2 linked regions of the Notamacropus eugenii genome follow. The protein of the gene in region 2 purifies or fractionates together with the protein of the main gene of each other region. This does not show direct contact. Links are inferred from orthologs where the notes say so. Each region holds a gene or a part of one and is shown on either strand. Other genes may lie near its edges.

The links.
Region 1: the proteins of ATP2B4 (region 2) and NPTN purify together in Homo sapiens (co-immunoprecipitation; 3 studies listed by BioGRID and IntAct, with this or other methods). This does not show direct contact. The link is inferred for Notamacropus eugenii from reciprocal best matches to the Homo sapiens genes ATP2B4 and NPTN.

What each region holds. Positions count from the first base shown.
Region 1 is NC_092872.1:243,422,198-243,432,054, reverse strand, and holds the start of NPTN (neuroplastin), read right to left. Parts: upstream 3,876-9,857; 5' UTR 3,861-3,875; coding exon 3,533-3,860; intron 1-3,532. UniProt on the Homo sapiens protein: Probable homophilic and heterophilic cell adhesion molecule involved in long term potentiation at hippocampal excitatory synapses through activation of p38MAPK. May also regulate neurite outgrowth by activating the FGFR1 signaling pathway.
Region 2 is NC_092873.1:436,291,460-436,301,359, forward strand, and holds the start of ATP2B4 (plasma membrane calcium-transporting ATPase 4), read right to left. Parts: upstream 4,146-9,900; 5' UTR 3,481-4,145; intron 1-3,480. UniProt on the Homo sapiens protein: Calcium/calmodulin-regulated and magnesium-dependent enzyme that catalyzes the hydrolysis of ATP coupled with the transport of calcium out of the cell. By regulating sperm cell calcium homeostasis, may play a role in sperm motility.

The sequences.
Region 1 (9,857 bases), on a different chromosome or scaffold from region 2:
ATGCATGTTAACACAATCATTAGTACAGTGGTGTCTCATGGTCTTCAATGTTTACTGGACTGAAGCCAAATCCCTGCAGCTCAGGAAGATGAGAAGAATCTGTTGTGAACCCTGCAATGGAAGGCACACACATTGGCAGCAGAAAGCATTAGAAAGGGATCACACTTCCAAGAGAAAATCAAGACCAAACAGAGAGAAAAAAATAAAGATTAAATTGTTACTTCACAAAGAAAAATCAAAAGCAGAAATAAAGTTAACATCAAAATCCAAACACTCCTTGGAGGTTTTTACTTTATTTTATTGTTCAATTTTGTTGCTCTGCACAGCTCCAAACCTTCCCCCAATGACATGAGGAAGGGGGCTACAAGGACAAGGCCAACAAGAGTTTTCTTATTTTTAAGTCTAAGGAGGCCAGGTGACAGATGACCATTTTTATTAGAGACTATGTAATTGACTACTGCTTTTTAGGACTATGAGGAAGAAATGTGAAAGCTATAATCTTCTGCCCATACTTCTTGTACTATACTGGCACAACAAAGAAAAACACAATTTTCCCCCTGTGAGTAAATGCTAAAGATTCAGGACAGACTCAGTTGGAAGTAAATGGAGTAGTAATTTGAGTTATTTTTTGTGTGAGGTGTGATTCTGTACAGTACATGTAAAACTCAGCAGAGGTCACAGCCATCATCTACTATGACAAGAAAATATATAGAAACCAGCCCTGGACAGATCACCACACTGGCAATGTATATCTATCAGTATCATTATCAACAGATAAGTATTGCATTTCTATGACCAATTATTGCTTATACCTGACCCAATTCAAGTCTAATTGAAATCTGCATTCTATTCTCTTTTCTGAGGGTTAAGGATTTCCTTCAAGTTTCACAGTCTTAGACCCAGTAGCTATGACTGAACCAGAACACCAGACTACAGCTTGGTCCATGCCATTGCCATGATCCAGGAAACCTAGAAATCCCAGAAGCCAGAAGCCACTGTATGCCTTTATTTGACATTGATGCCAATTAAAGTAGCAAGTAGCAAATTCCTGACCTGAAACTCCTTCCTTGAGCAGCATGGCTTGTTAGCTGATATCTATCTGCTTTGTCAGTTTAGGGCCTTGGTGGGTCAAGATTAACCTCATCCAAATTGGACATCTTTTTACTGTTATCCATAATTCCAGGACTTTGGAAGGTACTCCTGGTGGACCCTTAATGGGTCAAGATGACGCTCAACCTTTCTCCATGGCCAGCAGATAAAACTCCCCAGACAGCACTGAAGAGTCAGAAATGTAAAGCAATTCAACAGAGCTAAGCAAGCTTTGAGGAGCCAAAGTACACTGAATATAGGACAGGGTATGCTGGGTAAAGGCAGGCACAGCTTAGCTGTCAATAACATGAGAGGTTGGCGAGGAAAGATAAGATAGATCTAGCTGGGCAGGGTTGAGGTCACTGGTCTCTAGAGGCTGGTGAATTAAGAAACTGATTTCCAAGGAATCCAAGGAGTCCAGCCTATCAACTGCAACCAGTGTGTGGGGAGCCCCCCCAGCCAATCCTCACTAAGTGACTTGAGATACTTTCTAAGAAGTCCCATACTCTCTATACCCTCATTCTGCATCCAAGGCTCTGGTTTTTAAATCTTTGAGTCCAGGTACACTGAAAAAGCTGCAAAGGGCAAGGCACTTTGGTTCTGGTAAACACCAGATACAGACTACCAGCCTAGAGGCACCATTAGCCTTACAGATTAGTCAGCTAGATATTCTTATAAAAATGCTTCTTAGGAGAAGACAAAGTAACAGGGGTGGGGAGAGGGATAGGGAAAAAGGGGTACATGAAGAGGAAAGAATGCTTTTTAAAAAATTCATGTCATTTGGTTAATTTTCCCCATACATATGTCTACATGGTTTTCCAATTTTCAAAGGCAAATTCTCTGACTTAAAAGGACCAGCTGCAGTGGCCCTTATCTCCCTCTTCTAAGTGGTTTTTTTTACATTTGGTCAAGTTTTTATATAGAACAGCTTCCACTCCTCACTTTCCAGAATGACTGTGATTTAAGAGCATCATAAGGAAACAGAGATGGAGACCTATGTTCCAGCCCCTCATTTGTTAATATCAAAGTCTCAGGAAGTGTTTTAGTTTTTCCTATCCGATGTGCGAATTGTGGATGCACACCAAGTCATTTCAAAATCAATATTAGTCAGTTAAAGCTAGAGATGAGCCAGGAGAAAAATTGCCAGAATACCACTCAATCAGAGAAAACATGGGTCTCAATTGCAAAACTACTAAAATGGGACTATTGCTAGCAAAGCCTGTTGGCCTTCCAGTTGTTTCTCACCCTCCCCTCCTCCCAACCCACTCCCAACAATTAGCAAGTCACTTTCCAAATAGTAAAATAGAAACAAAAACTCTTCTGTCCAATGTTCTCCCTCTACCTATGGCCAATGGGGAAAGTCTTGAGCCAGCTGCCTTGCTCAGCTCTATTGGCCAGAGAAGAAGAGAGCAGTTAGGAAGTTCCTTCATGTAGAACTCCAGAGCAGCCTGGGGCTGCTACCTTACAGTAACAGTCCTGGAAAGATATCAGAGCCAAGCTGTCACAGGGAGACAAAATCCAAAGGACTACCTTATCACCTGGAGTCACCAGGCTCCTGGTAACAGGACAGATGGTACAAATCTCTGATTGTTCCTTGACTGGCAAGAACAGAGGATCCAATGAACAAAGTAAGTGAGAAGCTTGCTGCTGTGGTGGAAAGCTATCAGAGACACACATGCCACTGTTTTTGAAAAAGAAAAGGAGCTGGAAGTATGGGAGAATTCACACTTGCAGGTGACTAGGGACAACCAAAATACACCACCACACTACACTACACCAATGGCGGCCACTGCCAACGCCCTGTCACACAGTATACAATCATAGCAAACCACAGAAAAGGAGGGGCAGACACACAGGAACTCAAAACCACACAGGTGAAGGCAGCCACTTTGAGAGCTCCAGACAGATGATCAGAAAAAAAGCAAAAGTGGTTAGATTAGAGGAGAAAGATGAAAATAGAAAAAGGCACTAGAGAAGAAGGCAGCAAAAGGATGGCAGGAAACCTACTATAAACGTAAAGGGAGGGGAAGAAACAACTTCAACACTAAGCTGGTCTGAGAGTGTGCTTTTGTGGAGTTTTAACTTTGAAACCTCCCCACGTCCCTCATCCCTTGTCCCTCCTCCCTCCTCCCATCCCACATGACAGGAGATTTTAGACATTTCCATAGATTTTTCCCCAGTCCTTTGTTCCTAGAGGAAAGAGACACACAGAGGGGATGAATAGAGGAAAATGGGGGGACGAGTACAAAAGGGGGGAAAGGAAGGGCAAAAAGAAAAAAAAAATTGCCACAAATATTTTAATATGCTACAACTGAAGGGGTTGTGGGTTTGAAAGAACAAAGACAGGGTGGGTGGTCATACTAGGAAGGAGGTGGAAGGGGAGAAGGGTCACTGGGCCACCTCTAAGGACTACAGTGCTACTACTGTAGGGTGCTGGACTCACTCTGAAGGACGCTTATGGTAGCCTGGGCTCGGATCCATGTTAGGGAGGGATTTTGCCTCAAGTCATTCCTCCTTGGGTCGTTGCTGGCCCTGCACTCGTAAGTCCCAGAGTCCTCCAAGGTGAGGCCGGTTATTCTCAGCACACTCACGCCGTTTGACCCGTAGGCGGTGTTTACGGTGACACGGCGCTTCCGAGCACCGTCCCACAGCTGTCTGAAAGACTCTGGCTGGTTGACTTCTGCGTACCACCACTGGATCTCTGGAGTGGGGCTCCCAACCACGTCACAGTACAGCTCAAAGGCGTCCCCCGTGAGTTTAGTTTCTGACATGGGCGACTTGACAAACCCAGCTAGAGGGAGGGGCAGCAGGAATGCAGTGGCAGGCCAGTCAGAAAAAAAAAATCAACAGGAGTTAATAGTAATTTTTTAAAAGAAAATTAAAAAAAAAGCAAATGAGTTGCAAAGAACAGAAAAGGATTTATTTAAAAAATAGAGACAGTAACAGCAATTCATACAAGCTTTTAGAAGAACCATCCTGGCCAACTTAGGAAGCAAAGGCAGGCTGATTAGAAGCTGGGATAGCCCTGGACAACAACCGCCAGGCAGAAGCAAGCCCACTAAGCAGCCTCGGTAGCAATGGGTCCAGTGGGCAGGAATGGGAGAGCCTAAAGGCTGGGAAGCATCCTCACAGCACAAACCATACCTTTCCCAAACTGGGGAGGTGATGAAAGAGCAACTGGAAATCAGCATCAGGGCTAAATGCCAAGCCAGAATCTCTCTTTGGGAGAGCTGATTGCCCTGGGAATGTTGCAGCGCCTTTATGAAAGTGCAGCAGTGCGTGTTAAATGGAAGTCCAGAGACGGTATCTAAGGAAGCCATTGACAAGTGTCAGATGTCCAGCAGACAGTCTGTCCTGACTCAGGTTGGACTCTCTTAGCACAGTGCCTCCAGAGCTTTAGCACAGCACCTAGCACATAGCAGGTGCTTAATAAATGTTTATTTACTCACTGACTGACTTAAAAAAACACCAAGGAAACAAACCCTAGTACTTGAGCAGCTCCAATAAGAACAATTCCCTCAAACAAACTAGAAGCTGTGGGTGAAAGCTAGGGCTCAGCTGTGTTGGCCACCACCGAAGAATGAAGGCCTTCCTCATTCCCCCACCCCCAGCAGCTGGATATTGGTCCTTCTCTTTCTCCCACCAGGGATTTGCTTTGGGCTTCAGATCAAAGTGATACTGGGTTAGGAAGTAGAAATGTCATAGATGAAAAATCAAAGACTTTTTGAAAAGTTTATGGAGGTAGGTCCTTGGAAAGGTAAGACCTGGTTCAGTCTCTCTTACTGACTTACTACACCCACAGACTGTCTTATCTGCTGATTCAAATATCACACAGGAAGATCACAGAGACCACTCAAGACTGGCTGCACATTTTCCCTAGGGACACTGAAGCAGCACCTCTGCACATGAACAGAGATGCGCAAACTAGGCATATTCCAGAGGAGATGTACACATTAAATGGAACATTCCCTCTGTACCACAGAAGCAAAGGGAATGGGGCTAACAACCAGAAAATTTAGGTTACAGGAAGAAATTCTCATACTTCCAGGTGTAACTACTTGCTTTTAGGGAAAAAAACAAAACACGGCCTCGTGTAACATGCCATTAAAGGGGGAGAAAAACCCTCTATGTACCATATAGAAATCGAAGTACTTTTTTTTTTTTTTTTTACAGAATAGTTCAGACCCCAAATCTAAGCTACAAAGTATCCTGGTAGAGTAAAACGAGTGTTGTTCCTGGGAGCTGAGCATCTTTCTAGTACTGCTCTTAATTAGCCATGTGACCTTGGACAAGTACCTCAGCTCTCTGTCTCAGTTTCTTCTGTGAAATGAGGGTGATGGGCTGAATCACTTCTGAAATTCCTTCCAGCTCTGTCATTCTCTAACCTGGAGAATGTTTTAAATATTCTTTGGGGACTGGGGGAACAATGACCTCAAGACTCTTGACCTGCAAAGGCACTGAATGTCAAGTACAAAGAGCACAAAACTCATTTATTGTTCCAAATCACCTCTACTGGTCAGCCCTAGCAGGGTCCTCCCCCTCTGCAGGGACTCTCAGGAGCCACACAGGTATCACTGGAAGATCCAGAAGAAGCTCAGAGTAAGACATTCAACTTGAGACCTTCTCTCAGCTGTCTTGCCAACGGATGACAGTATAGCATCCGGGCACCGGGGTAATTAAGCATCACTATATAAAACACACGCCAGCTAGGAAGCATGACTCTCATGTAAGCCAATACTGTATTCCTTTCCTGGAACAAATTTGTTTTTTCCAAGTATACAAACAACTCTAAAGAAAACTTATTTCCAAGAAAGGTATGGAGGATGATTATTTAACTTGTTGGTTTAAGTAATCACTACTTCTTAGAGAAACGAGAACAGGTCAGGAAAGTTCTTTGAGCTGCCAGATTTTAGTAATTATTAGCAAGATTAACTGGAGACTTGCTCATTTTCCTCTAACAGAATTGTCATTAGCTCCATAGTTCCCTACGACAGCCTGGACAGAATTTGAACCTATGGTATGATAAGCCTTAGACAAAGCAAGAACAAAGAATCCATGCAAAACAGAAAAGCTTGAGAGAGTCCTAAAATAATTTGTAGGAAGGACAATTGGTTAAAAATAAAAAGAACCTTACAATATCTTTGCTGAGCAGACTGGTTCAATATACAAAGTATTCTACTTGCCTCTGATCCTCTGGAGACTGTGATGGTCATTAGATTATAGATTTAGAGCAGGAAAGGACCTTAGGTCATCTAATCAACCTTCTCAGTTTTGCAGATTAAGAAATAGACAGCAATTATCATTTGACCATGATTATATAAACAGTAAACAGCAGAGCTAGGATTTGAAGCCAGGTCATCTGACTCCAAACTGAATGGGGCTTTTTCACTTTACCCCTTTGCCTAGACGAATTGTACATAACAGAAGGGGAGCTAATTTTTCATTCTGATATTCTTGTCAGGGACCATGGTAAAATAAATCTCTGTCACCTATACTAAAGATATGCTTTTTAATAAATGCTTTTGCATACATTTTCACTGATCCTACAACTGCCCTATTAGATAGGTAGGCAAGTAGTATGCCCATTTTACAAATAACAAAACTAAGAACTGGAAGTTAAGGATCCACCACACAGTACAAGCATTGTAAAGGCACACTCTCTCTATAACATCCTAGAGAAGCAATAACTGACCCAAGCTCACCACTTGTATCACAAAGAGTGGTGGCAGAAATAGTGAGGATCTAAGTCTTCCCACTCTCAAGGCCAGATACTTTCCACAATACCACAAAACCTCTCCATCAATCAGGAGATTCCTTGATACTAGAAAACTCATAAAAAATTGTACAACCTAACCTTTTTCTCCTCCTAGCAGCAGGGAGTTAGTAAAATGAACTTTTCTATAAAGTATTCATACAATTAGCATAGAAAATCAAGATTAGCAATAAACTACACCTCATTACCTATCCAAAATTAGCTTCAATTCAGCAGACGAGAAGAATCAGCTCTCAGAAGCAGGAGGTAAACAGCCTAGGGTCTAAATCATCCCTTTTGCTTCCAGACACACCAGCACCTTCAGAATGAAAAGTTACAGCTGAAGGTCAGGTGCCTTATAAAGGCATGTGCTTCCATAAAAGCTGAAGTTTGGGGAGGCAAGGAACCCCAGTCATGGTTTATAAAAGTTCCCCCAAATTCAGAAAAGTTGGTTTTGTTTTGCAAAATAATCTCCACCCCCCCCTTTCAATCCCATGCCACCACTCCTGACATAAATGGCTACAACAAGATGTTGAGTAAGTGTGAGTCCTACAAATTGGCTCTATCATTCCTGCATTTAATAACCAGGAAACTGCAGAATCCCAATTGGTTGTTCAGAGAGGAAGGAAAAAGAAAAAATATGATAAAAGGATGTGACAAAGTTGGGAAAGTAAGAATATTCAATTGTGTGACTGGGAGTGGGAAAAAGAAGACAGCTCAGAATAGTACCTGGAGAAAGGACAAGCTCTCTGGACAGAAAAAGCTAGGAGTCTGGATTGTGAAAGTATTCGAGTCAAGAGGGGCACACAGAGCAAGGTGAATGCCATTCCAAAAGAAGACAGCTTTCACATACATACATAGCTGACTTTTGAAACAGGAATACTAGCACCTCAAATTTCCTGTTTAACTCCAGGGCAGGCCCAGCTAGATTTGCAAAGGTAGACTTCCTCCCCATGACTGTTAACCAAGGCCAGCAAGGCCTTTAAAATAAGCCCCACTCTTGTCTTACACAGCAGCCCTCTTGAAGCCCCAGTCAATTTATAATGCTGCTGGCAGATCTGATTCTTTCAGTCTGTGCTTTCCTGCCTCTCTATTCTAAGAAAGAAAATTAGATTACAATTGACTAAAGGGCACAGGCTCAAATCTCTGAGTCCAAGGTCGAACAAGACAACCTGCTGACATCTAACGTGAGGTTCTAGTCTCAATATTTCACATCTTTCAATTAGCCCCAACCACCCTGGGCAGATACATACTGTATCACCATCACCATCATCACATTTATATAGCCCTTTAAGTTTTTCAAACTGCTTTGTAGGCATTATTTGATCCTTACAACAATCCTGTTATTGTTATTCTCATTTTGCAGAAGAGGAAACTGAGGTTGAAAAAACATTAAGTGACTTATCCAGGATGAGACAGCTAAGCTAAATGTCTAAGGCAGGATTTGAACTCAGGTCTGTCTGGCTCAAAGGCCACTGTGCCATCTAGCACACATGTGTACACATACACCCACACCCACAAACACTTCCTATATAGTCTAACCACATTAACTGTTGGTCGGTCAGTGAACAATTCCACAGAGGCAAGTTGTAGCTCTATGCTGAAATGCTCCATTTGTTGATGTGGAGGCAGAGCCCAAAGGATGGAAAATGAAGTTTAACCACAGAGTAGCTGAAGGGGGATAGAACCCTTGGCATGATGTGTAGCAGTTAGGATTTATTTCTCAAATTTTAAATCCAGTATTTTTTCATGCCTTTCTCTCTGGTTTTTTTTTTTTTATGCCTCCTCATCAGGCACCTCCTTCGGCAGAAACTGAACTTACCTGTTTCTCCTAACTGCCATGTCTTGGTCAAGAAGAGCACTGAGGCTCAGAACCTCACTTGTCTTGGACATAATCCCCCCATATCAAATCAATCAGGCATCAAATTCTCTACCATAAGATCCTACTCTATCTTAGTGACAAAATAAATCTCCTTATTTTGAAGAATTTAGTGTGTATACGTATTATGACTCATGTAAGTGCATCAGTAGGGCACTGGTATTAAAAAGTTGGGTCTTTGTTTTGGGGAACTGTAAATCTTTATAATTTTAGAGTTCTACAGTATGACTAACTGGGAAATACTGATGTAGACTGACTGTACTGTTGTCTGGAAGGCAGAAACAAAAACATCCCTTTGTTCCATAGAAATGGGCCCTGTTCTAATTGACATTTCTGTGACTGAGTCAAATGAAAGCATCAAAAATGTGCTCCTTTCTTCTTTGCAAACATGTCGGACTTTTTTTATATGTTGGTTAGTTTTGAACTGTTTAAGTAAAGTCTACTCGGAAAGGTTTTCTTCAATCACTACAAGCCCTACATTTTCCATACATTAATTAGCATCCTGATCCCAGAGGCTCAGTTAAAAACAGATGCTGACCAATTACAGGGCTTTCACCCAAAAAGGTCATTTCAAAACTGGAGAACAATAAAGACCCCGGCAAATCTTTAGTTTCCAGGACAGCTTTTCATCAGGTCTGGCCAACAGATGATGAAGTCTCTTTTTTTTTAGACACAGCAACACATCAAAAGTATAGTGCATTCAAAAATCTTAAAAAGAATATCCACACTCTTGAAATGACGGCTTCTTGAAAACAAATTTATTCTGGTCAGATGGACATGAAGCAGTTGTACTAGATCATTCAAGCTCCAATTCCTATGATCAATGAATTACAGAATAATAAAACTAGAAATTATTTACTCCAACTCTTCCTCAAGGCCTAGAGAACTGACATGCTTATTCTCAGAACATGCTGCCAGGGGAATGACAGGGTTTGGATGAGAACTCAGGTCTCCTGATGCCTAGTGTGGTCATCTCTCCACACTTGTTTATCAGAGCAAGGTAAGAAAGATGTTGGCCCAACACTGTGTACCTGAATGCAGAGCTGGCTCTAGGAAGAACAGACAGCCATTTGGGCTCTTCAGATGAGGGGTAGGGGGATGGAGAAGAAGGGAGGAGGAAAATGAGAAGCTGTTTGT
Region 2 (9,900 bases):
TGGAACTCATTTGTAGTAAGACCAGAAGGAACAAAAAAAAAAAAAAATGGAATGAAATAATACTTCAGAGAAAGGGGATGGCTGCTGGAGCTGGGAACTAAGTAAAAGTCCAGGACTCAAAGAAGGGGTACATTTGAATAGAATAGTAGGTAGGGGAAATGAAATAATATAAAACAGGAATATTTCTCTCTAGGCTGAATCATTTGTTAAGCATTAGAATTCTAGCAGCCTATGCAGTTTTCTCATTGCATCCCCATCCTTGGTGTTTTATGGTTTCAAAAGCACTCAACAAATATTAATCCACTTGATCCCTACAACATCCCTGGAAGGTAGCTGCTATTATCCCATTTTGCAGATGGGGAAACTGAGGCAGGCAGTGGTCAAGTGACTAAATAGATCCTTGCTCATCATTTTGTACCAGTTTTACTGACCCCATTATTATTCAAGTCCCTTCTCACCACCTAATCCACAAAATTCTAAGAGTCTGTTTGCTTAAAATCAAAGTACACTTGTCTCAGCCATATTAGTAACTTTATTCCAAAAACAAACAGAGGTTAGTTGGGTTAGCCTCCTTTGGGGAGGTAAATCTTCATAGGCAATAAGTGATTACTCATTTTTTAAAAAAATGTTTATCACATTTTATCTTAATGTTTTTACATCTCTTTAAGAAATGCATTCTCCAATGTTTATTGTCTCAAACAACATTGATCTTCAAGTGGCCGGCTTGACTTTTCCCTCATCCCCTATCTCAGAAATCTTTCAGGGTTCAGCATATGAAGCATTTCCTGCCCCTCTCCCCCTAAAGTATCCCTCTCTCCTCAGAGCACCCAAAGCATTTGAAGGGTGCATCTTACAGACACCTTTCATATTGTTCTCTGCAGCATCATAGTTCTATGTGTATATATGCACACATATATAAATACATACATACATACACACACACACACACACAGAGTGGGGCAGGAGTGATAAGGCAGAGGTCTGAGAGCCTCCTCCAGGTGTGACAGAGGATCCTGGGGAAGTCCTTTCTTTTTGTCTTGAAAATGAATAAAAGGGCACTGGCACAACTTGGGCAAATAAGTTGCCCGGTGAGTATTTCTCAAATAAAGGAAGACTCTAATCAGACATCATCTTTCCCTTCCTTAGAATCTTAGAATGAAGGGCAGGAAGGAAAATGGTTTGGGGCATAAGTTCAAGAGAGGGAAACAGAATACAGAACCTATACACAGGAGGCCCTAAATGAATGTATTTTCAATGAAAAAACCCAGATCTCCATTATTGTTTTCTCTGGCATCTAACTGGTATAATTTAAGATGGAGTAATGAGTCCACAAAAATGAGCAAACAACATAGATGGATATATCATTACAGAATGTGATGTGTGCTGAGGACATAAAGAGATGCTCAAAGCCCTATTAGCACAGTCTAGAGTGGAGGGAGAATTCTATTGGGAAGGAACCAGCAAGGGCTGCAGGAGAGGGTAGTCAAACCACTTCATTTCCTTCCCCTCAGTTCCCTCATCTGTAAAAGGTTGGAACCTTAGGGATTAGCCAGGCTACCACCTCACTTTGTAGGGATGAGGACAGTGAGCCCGAGGAGTTTAGGGCCCAAGGAGATGGTGGATCCAGGTTTCAGACCTGGGTTACAGAGCTCTGTGGCAGACATAACCCACAGTTTAAGAAGCACTGAAGGGGTCATGAGTGAAAAAAGTTTAAGAAGCTCCGGACTATGTATAATGTTCTGGCCTAGAGAAATGCCCTAGGAAAACCCCTCTTGTGCTCCACAGCCTTTAGTCCCCAAACGCAGTGCCACATTGCCTCCATCACTGTTGTGCAAACAGAAAACTTGGCTGCCCCTAGGGAGATCCGCGCCATGCGGCTGGCCTACAGCCTGTTCTTGCAACTGTGTTCCACATGCTATCACTTAACTTGGCTTGTCTCTCCAGTCACCCCAGCCACACCCAGTGCCTTTGCCTCAGTGGGCCAGATAGGTCAGCCCTTGCATAAGCAGGGCTCCTGGCCACTCCAGGAGGGACTCAGCTGGTAGCAAGCCCAGGCCAGGCCCCTCCTCTACTATCTAGTCCCTCCACCAGCTCAATCCCCTTCTCCACTCCTCTAACCACACCCTAAGCCCCAGGGTGGGGGTGGGGGTGGTGGGAGTGGAGAAAGAGCTGAGTTCTGACCTGCAAATCCCCACCCACAGCCTCCAGCCCAAGGAGGAGCCAGAGGGAGGGAAGAGACTTCATCCCACGGAGGCCTGCCACAGCTGTACAGTAGACCCAAATCAGCTAGATCTGGCCTGGCTGTCCCATAGGAATAGGAGATAACCACTGCCCCGGGCTCAGCTGAGGCTAGCGACACTGACACCCAACCAAGTCATTTTTCTCCTTCCCCTGTGCCTCACAGAATCACACCTGGAGAACTCCTGACCTCTGCCCCAGGAGGGCCCCTATTTAATCCTCTCTAAGCCTGTCATCACCAGAGGCAAGATTCCCCAAACCTAGTGCTTTCGCCCCTTCCTCTCTGGCTTGGGAGCCATGTGTGGATTCAGATTCCATCTCTAACACTTGTGTGTGTGTTTGTCATTCTTTGCTGAAGAAGATCATATCATCAGAGAAATGATGACATGACGTGCACTTGACTTTGTTTTGAGTGAGAGAGGGCTGTGCAGGTCACCTGCCTCACTTCTCCTCCAGAGCCATCTGAATCCAGCGACCAGATGACTGGAGATGACCTAGGATGAGGCAATTGGGGTTAAGTGACTTGCCCAAGGTCACACAGCTAGTGAGTGTGAAGTGTCTGAGGTGAGATATGAACTCAGGTCCTCCTGACTCCTGCACTGCTCTATCCACTGCACCATGTAGCTGCCCCTTCTCTAACACTTACATCCAGCCTTAGTCACTTATTAGATCCAGTGCTGATGTGAGAAGGCAGGGCAGTCTGGGTATTTCAAGGCATTGTGGTAATGGACATTCTGCTCTGTTACACACACACACACACACACACACACACACACACACACACACACACACACACACACACACACACCCAAATAGGGTCACAAAGAGTCAGAAATGACTGAAAACAACTAACCAACAAAGAAAAACAACATATATCACTATGGGTTGGGGAGAGAGTCTTATCTAAAATATGATGAAAAGTGTTTAATAACATAATGCTGCCCCTTCCCCTCTCAAGGTCTCAGTTTCCTCATTTGGGAAAGGAAGGGTTTGGAATAAATGACTCTGAAGGTCTCTTCCAGTTCTATCTCTGATTATCAAGAGTTAAACCGATGGGGACACTGAAGCTGAGAACTACAGTTCACAGGTGGGGATGATGGTTGAGGTTCTGAGATGCCCAGTCTCAATCCGACTCCTCCCCACCCTGCCCCAATTCTTCAACTGCATCCTCTCCTGCTTAAGACATTTCAACAGCTTTGAATTGAAGGTATAATAATGAATAAGAATACCTTACATACTTACAGTGGATTTATCATTTTCAAAGCACTTTCTTACAGATGATCTGATTTGAGCCTCACAATGAATTTGTGAGGTAGGCTGGGCAGATAGTATCCTTATTTGACAAATTAAGAAACTGAGATTCAGAAATGAAGTAAATTGCCCAAGGTCACAAAGCAGAATGAGCAATACAGCTGAAGTCCTTTGGCTTTTTTTTCCAGGGCATTCTGACTTCCAGAAAGGGTAGAATGGGAAAAAACACTGGGTTTGGAACTGAATGAGAATTCTTCCTTTGTGACAACTCTGTGGGTCTCAGATTCTTCACCTGTAAAATGAGGGAGCTGGACTGAGTGACTAGCCATTGGCCTGCTCTAGTCCTTTTATCTAAGATCTTTCATTAGTCATGGGAAAATTGTCTTATATTTGTGGGCATCAGTTTTCTCAGTTACGATATGGGGGAGAAACCTTCATAGCATACTGTTGTGGTTTGTCCTTCATTCTCAAAGAGGACCATGACATCAGGGAGATGATAACATGACTTGCATTGAATTGGATTTGAGGGAGGGCAGGCTGGGCAAAGTCACCAGCCTTACTTTCTTCTCCAGAGCCATCTGGGTCCAGTGGCCAGATATCCAATCAGGATGACCTGAGATGGCCCAGCTTAGCATGCTGAATTCAGAGTGAAGGACCTGGGTTGGAACCTCTGGTTCAGCAACTATGAGGTAGAATTTGAACTCAGACCTTCTATTACTTACTACCTACCAGTGTGATCCCTAGGTTAGTCATTTCATTTCTCTGGGCTTCAATTTTTTCCTCTGGAAAAACCAGGGGGTTAAAGAACACTAGGTGATCTCTAAAGTTACTTCCAGCTCTAACTTTTTTTTTATCATAAGCATTCTTCTTTCCTCCACAAGGATGTATTAATAACAATTTTTTTTTTGTTTTTCTGTTGTTGTCCAGTTGTTTTCAGTTGTGTCCGACTCTTCATGACACCATTTTGTGGTTTTTGTGGCAGAGATACTGGAGTGGTTTGCATTTCCTTCTCCAGTTCAATTGATAGAAGAGAAAACTGAGACAAATAGAGTTAAGTGACTTACCCAGGGTGACACAGCTAGTAAGTGTCTGAGACCAGATTTGAACTCAGAAAGATGGGTCTTCCTGACTCCAGGTCTGGCGCTCTATGCCCAGTGCTGCCACTAATAGTACAAACTATTTAGTGCTTTTAAGGAACACAAAGCACTTTGCATATACTAACTCATTTTATGCTGGGAGGGAGGTAGTAGTATTATCTTGGCTTTATAGATAAGGAAACTGAGGCACATAACCTGAGGCTGGTTAAAAGACTTAGCCAAGTTCACCCAACTAGGAAGTATAAGAGGCAGGTTTGAACTCAGGTCTTTCTTGAAGATAATAAAATGGAGATGGGAAAATGTCATGTAAACTCCAGCTGAGCTGATGGACACTAACACTCTAGAGAATGAGTCAAGGTTTGCAGGGGTAAAGATTCCATTTAACCAGCACTTTTTAAAACCTCCATTGAGCTCATTACAATCTACAAAGCCTTTTCACAACCTTTATCTCATGTGATCCTCACCACAACCTTTGGAAGGAGGTGGTCACAGGTATTATTATCCTCATTTTACAGATGAGGCCCAGAGAGTTGAAATGTTTCACTCAAGGTCTGATATATGGTAAGGATTAAACATGAACTAGAACCCAGGTTTTTTGACCCTTAGTCTAGTGCTTCTTCTCTCTTAATCAGTGAATCAACCAATCAACAAGCATTTATTAAGTGCTTACTATGTGCCAGGTAATTTCAATCACTGCGGGACCCAAAGAGAGGAAAAAACAAGCCCTGCTTAGAAGAAGCTGACCTTCTAATGGGAGAGAGGATATGTAAATAATCCAGAACATACAAGATATATAACAGAGCTGGTGGAAGTTCATCTCAAAGAGGAAGGTTCTGGAAGCTGGTAGAATGAATAAGACCTCCTGCAGAAGACTGTCTTGGAGCTAAGTCTTGAAAGATACAAGAGATTCTAAGAGGTAGAAGTGAGGATGAGTATTTCAGGAAGGGATGCCATAGTTGGAAATGTTTGGGTTCATATATGAATAATGAACATTTTACTCTAAAAAGGAAACTTTTAAAGTATTTGCCTCAATCACATTTGTCCTCTCGAGATTCTCAAGGAAAATGGAGGTAGAGGATGTAGAAAGAATATTGAGATTGAAGGCAGAAGGTCTTTATTCTAATACTACCACTGTCACTTTTCAAGTGTGATCTTGGGAAAGTAAATTTCAAATCTCACTACCTTTCCTAACTGGAGAATGGGAATTATACTTCTTACTCTGTAATCTCCTTACAAAGTTGTTGACAGGAAATCATTTTGTAAAAAAACATAACACAAGCTATGAATTATAATCTGTAAAATGAGATCATAAACACAATTACTGACAAACATAAAGAATATAAGCTCCCAATGGTTTTTAAAAACATTCGTTATTTTTTAAAAAATTTGATTGGTAGAACAAAATGTCCCCTTAAAAAGGCTGACTACTAAAAGGGTCTCCCATCTTTATGTTAAGCTCACGTAAGACTCCTTAGTAGATGTAACCACAGAGATAGTTTTATTCAACAGTCATCTGAGTATCCATAGGGAGCCAGGGACACAACAGGGAGGTGATTGCTCACTGAGGTATTTGTCACTTTCATGGAAGACAAGGATAGGAGGTCCTGGGTAGAATCCAAATGAAAAAATAATTCTCTAAAGATGGTAAATTTGGCCATATAATGAGAAGATGGAACCCATTGGAAAACACCCTGGTGTTGGGAAAGAATGAAAGCAAAAGGAAAAGGGGATGGCAGAAGATAAGATGGATGGATAGTGTCACGGAAACAACAAACGTGAACTTGGACAGACTTCAAGAGATAGCAGAGGAGAGAACAACTTGGTATGCTATGGTCCATGGGGTGACTGAGGAGTAAGACACAACTGCATGACTGAACAACAAAAAAGATGGTGAGTTCTTCCTGGCATTATTGGAAGACAATGTACTGAGAACCTCAAGTTCCAGAATAGGGCAAGGCTTCTTCCATGAGATCCATAACCACTAAAGTCTAACAATCTATAAGGAAAAAAACATTTAGATGAAGAGTGTCTATTGTCAAGTCAGCAAGTATTTATTGAGCACCTACAGTATGCCAGGCACTATGTTAAGCACTGGAGATATAAAGAAAGACCAAAAAAATGATCGCTGGCCTCAAGGAGCTCACAGTCTTAATAGAAGAGACAACATTCAAACAGCTACATTCAAGTAAGATATACAGATATGTATGTATAGATAGATTTAGATATCCACATACCTATATCTTGATAGATACATATATATGCCTTCCCTCTGAGATTATTTCCAATTTCTTCTGTATAGATATAAATATATAGCTATCCATATCTATTTATCTGCCTACCTACCTACCTATCTACCTACCTATCTATCTATCTATCTATCTATCTATCTATCTATCTATCTATCTATCTATCTATCTACCTATCTATCTATCTGTCTATTTATCTATCCATCCATCCATCCATCCATCCATCCATCCATCCATCCATCCATCCATCTATCCATCTATAGGATAAATTAGAGATACTCTCAGAAGGAAAGCCTTAACATTAAGATAGATCAGGAAAATCTTCCTGTAGATGGTGGGATTTTTTGCTGAGACTTGAAGGAAACCAGGGAAGCCAGAAGGCAGAGGTGAGAAGGGAGAGCATCATGTGTATGGGACACAGTCCATGAAAATGCCCAGACTTGAGAGATGGAGTGTCTTGTGAGAGGAACAGTAAGGAAATTGTCCTGATTATGACACACTGCTGGGAAGTTCACTGATTTAAACTATCACTACACATATTCTGGACAGGTTCTGCAAGTGGACAATGAGCCAGGGTCCAAATCGAACATGTGGGAGGGAAATGGCCAACAGCATTGGGGAAATCAGTTTTGATGAACCCAAATTATATCCTTATGTGTAAGCTCATTAAAAAAAAAACCACATTACTATCCTTCCAACTCTCTTTCTTCCACAAAGGGCTTAAAGGTCAACCATGCTGAGATGGAGTTGGGGTGCTATATGATTGTGAATCATATACTCTACAGTCTCAGGAGAGTCACAGTTGTGCATGGCACAAAGGGCAATGGGGAGATAGAGGATGGAAGCTGACTCCAGTTTATTACCAAAGATGACTTTTGTGTGATAAGTAGCATGGAAGACACCAACCAAAAAAACATTGTGCCCAAAAAAGGACGTAGATTGGTCATGTAGTAAAAGCAGAGAAGAGATGGACAGAGTCCCATTGGTACCCATGTAATATTATCAGTCATGTAGCGAAAGCAAAAGATAACAGATGGACAGACTGAGGGCTACACTGGTCCCCAGGTGATGTTATTAGTCATGTAGTGAAAGCCAAAGATAACAGATGGACAGATTGAATGCCACACCAGTACCTTTAATGTGAAAAGACCTAGGGGAGATCTCTAGTAAACTGAGTGAAATCTTTATAAAGGCTTTATGGAGACAAGAGCAGAACATGATTCGATGGCTTATATGGACTTCTATGGAAAGTGTCCCCATTAGTGAGATCATATAGTAAAATGAGAGCTTTCTACAAAGAATTCACAAACCTTCACTGTTTTTAAAATTAATATTATTCCCATGTGACAGTAGGGAAAGCATGTGCACAGAATAGCCAAGGGACCTCCCCAGGGTCACACAGCATGATTATGTCAGTAACAGGATAAAGCTAAGGACATGCCCTAGCCTTTCATATTATAACAGAGTATCTATTAGCATTCCTAAGACAAGTCTGTATCTGTCTCCTGGCATTCTGCTGTCCTCTAGATGATGACCTTTTTTTGCCTCTGAAAGACTTAGTTGACATTCTTGGGGATCTTCCACATCCCCAAGGTGTACCACTGCTCTGAAACAACCAGAACGCATTGAGCTGGGGCTGTACATTCCAGAGACAGTGTAGCCTTCCATCATCCTAGGAATTGTTTTCTCATCTCTAACTTCAACCATGCTCATTACCAAACAGCTGATGGTAGTTATTTGGCCTCCCCAACTCTCATCTTTCTTTCTGCTCCTGCCTGCCCTGTCCACCCCAACAACTTTGCACAATTCCTAGATGCTTTTTGAAAAGAAATTCTTTTTAATCACACACATGTAAAGCAGTCTTTCAGACACAGACACAGACACATACACATACTCAGGAGAACAAAGACATGAGAACTTCACAAAGCTCTCTGCAACCAAAGAGAAGCTCTAGAGAGGAAAACAATGATGAGTCTCTTGTCATCAATGAATAATCCCACTCACAGATTTATATGGAGAGCTTTACATGGGGTGTTCCTCGCTTCCAGAGCCCTGAAGAAAGGCTCTATGTCAGTCAATGGAACCTCTAAAAAAAGTCACTTTGTATTTTTAAAGTCTTCTTCAAACAAAAGTTAACTTGCTTAACCTCTTCCCTTCCCACTACCAATTAGTTTTATGTTTCAGAAAGAAAAACAGAGGTACAGGGGAGAGAAGGGATTTGTCCAAAGATTTTCAATTCAATTCAACGTTTGCTCCACAGCATCTACTAAGTTCAGGACAATATGATAGGTAGGTAAGACACGGTTCTGGTTTTCATCATTGTTTTCTGGTATGGATAACCATAATTCACACTGAATAATATATGTGCCCAAAGAACTGCAAAGCTGTATGTGGAATGTGAGAGGAAACCATTCCTGACTAAGGGGATGGGGACAGTTTCCTGAAGGAAGAGACATTTGAGTTGGATTTAAAGGATGGCTAAGAATTCAGTAAGTGAAGGGAGAAAGGCAGCCTAGGCATAGGAAACAGCATGGACAAAGGCATGGAGGACGGAAAAGTTAGGCATATGTAGGAGGCCAGGGTAAACAGTTCAGTTTGATTGGAACACAGACTACATGGAGAAGAGTACTATTAAAAATGTAAAATTGTGTCATTAGTTTGAAATTTATCCAATGGACAGACATCATGGGAACCATCATGGGAATTAAGCAGAGGAGTAAATGATTATTTCACAAGGAAGATTCCTATCAGTGATATAGAAGGAGGTTTGGAGGAAGAGAGATTAAAGGAGAAGAACAGTTAATATTCAGTTAGGGTCTGTATTAGAGGGGTGATTATGAAAATTGAGAGAAGGATGGGGGAAAATACTGTGCTGGACTGAATAAAAGGAGGGAGGAAGAAGACAGACTCCAAGACACCACCAAAGTTTTGAACATGTGAGAATGGTAGTTGCTCTAAAACAGAAGAGTCAGAAGGAAGAGCTGTATTTGGGAGAAAGATCATGTTCACAGTTACAAGGATGTTGCTGCACTCCAGTGCCTAGAGGAGGTATCCTGTAGACAGGTCTG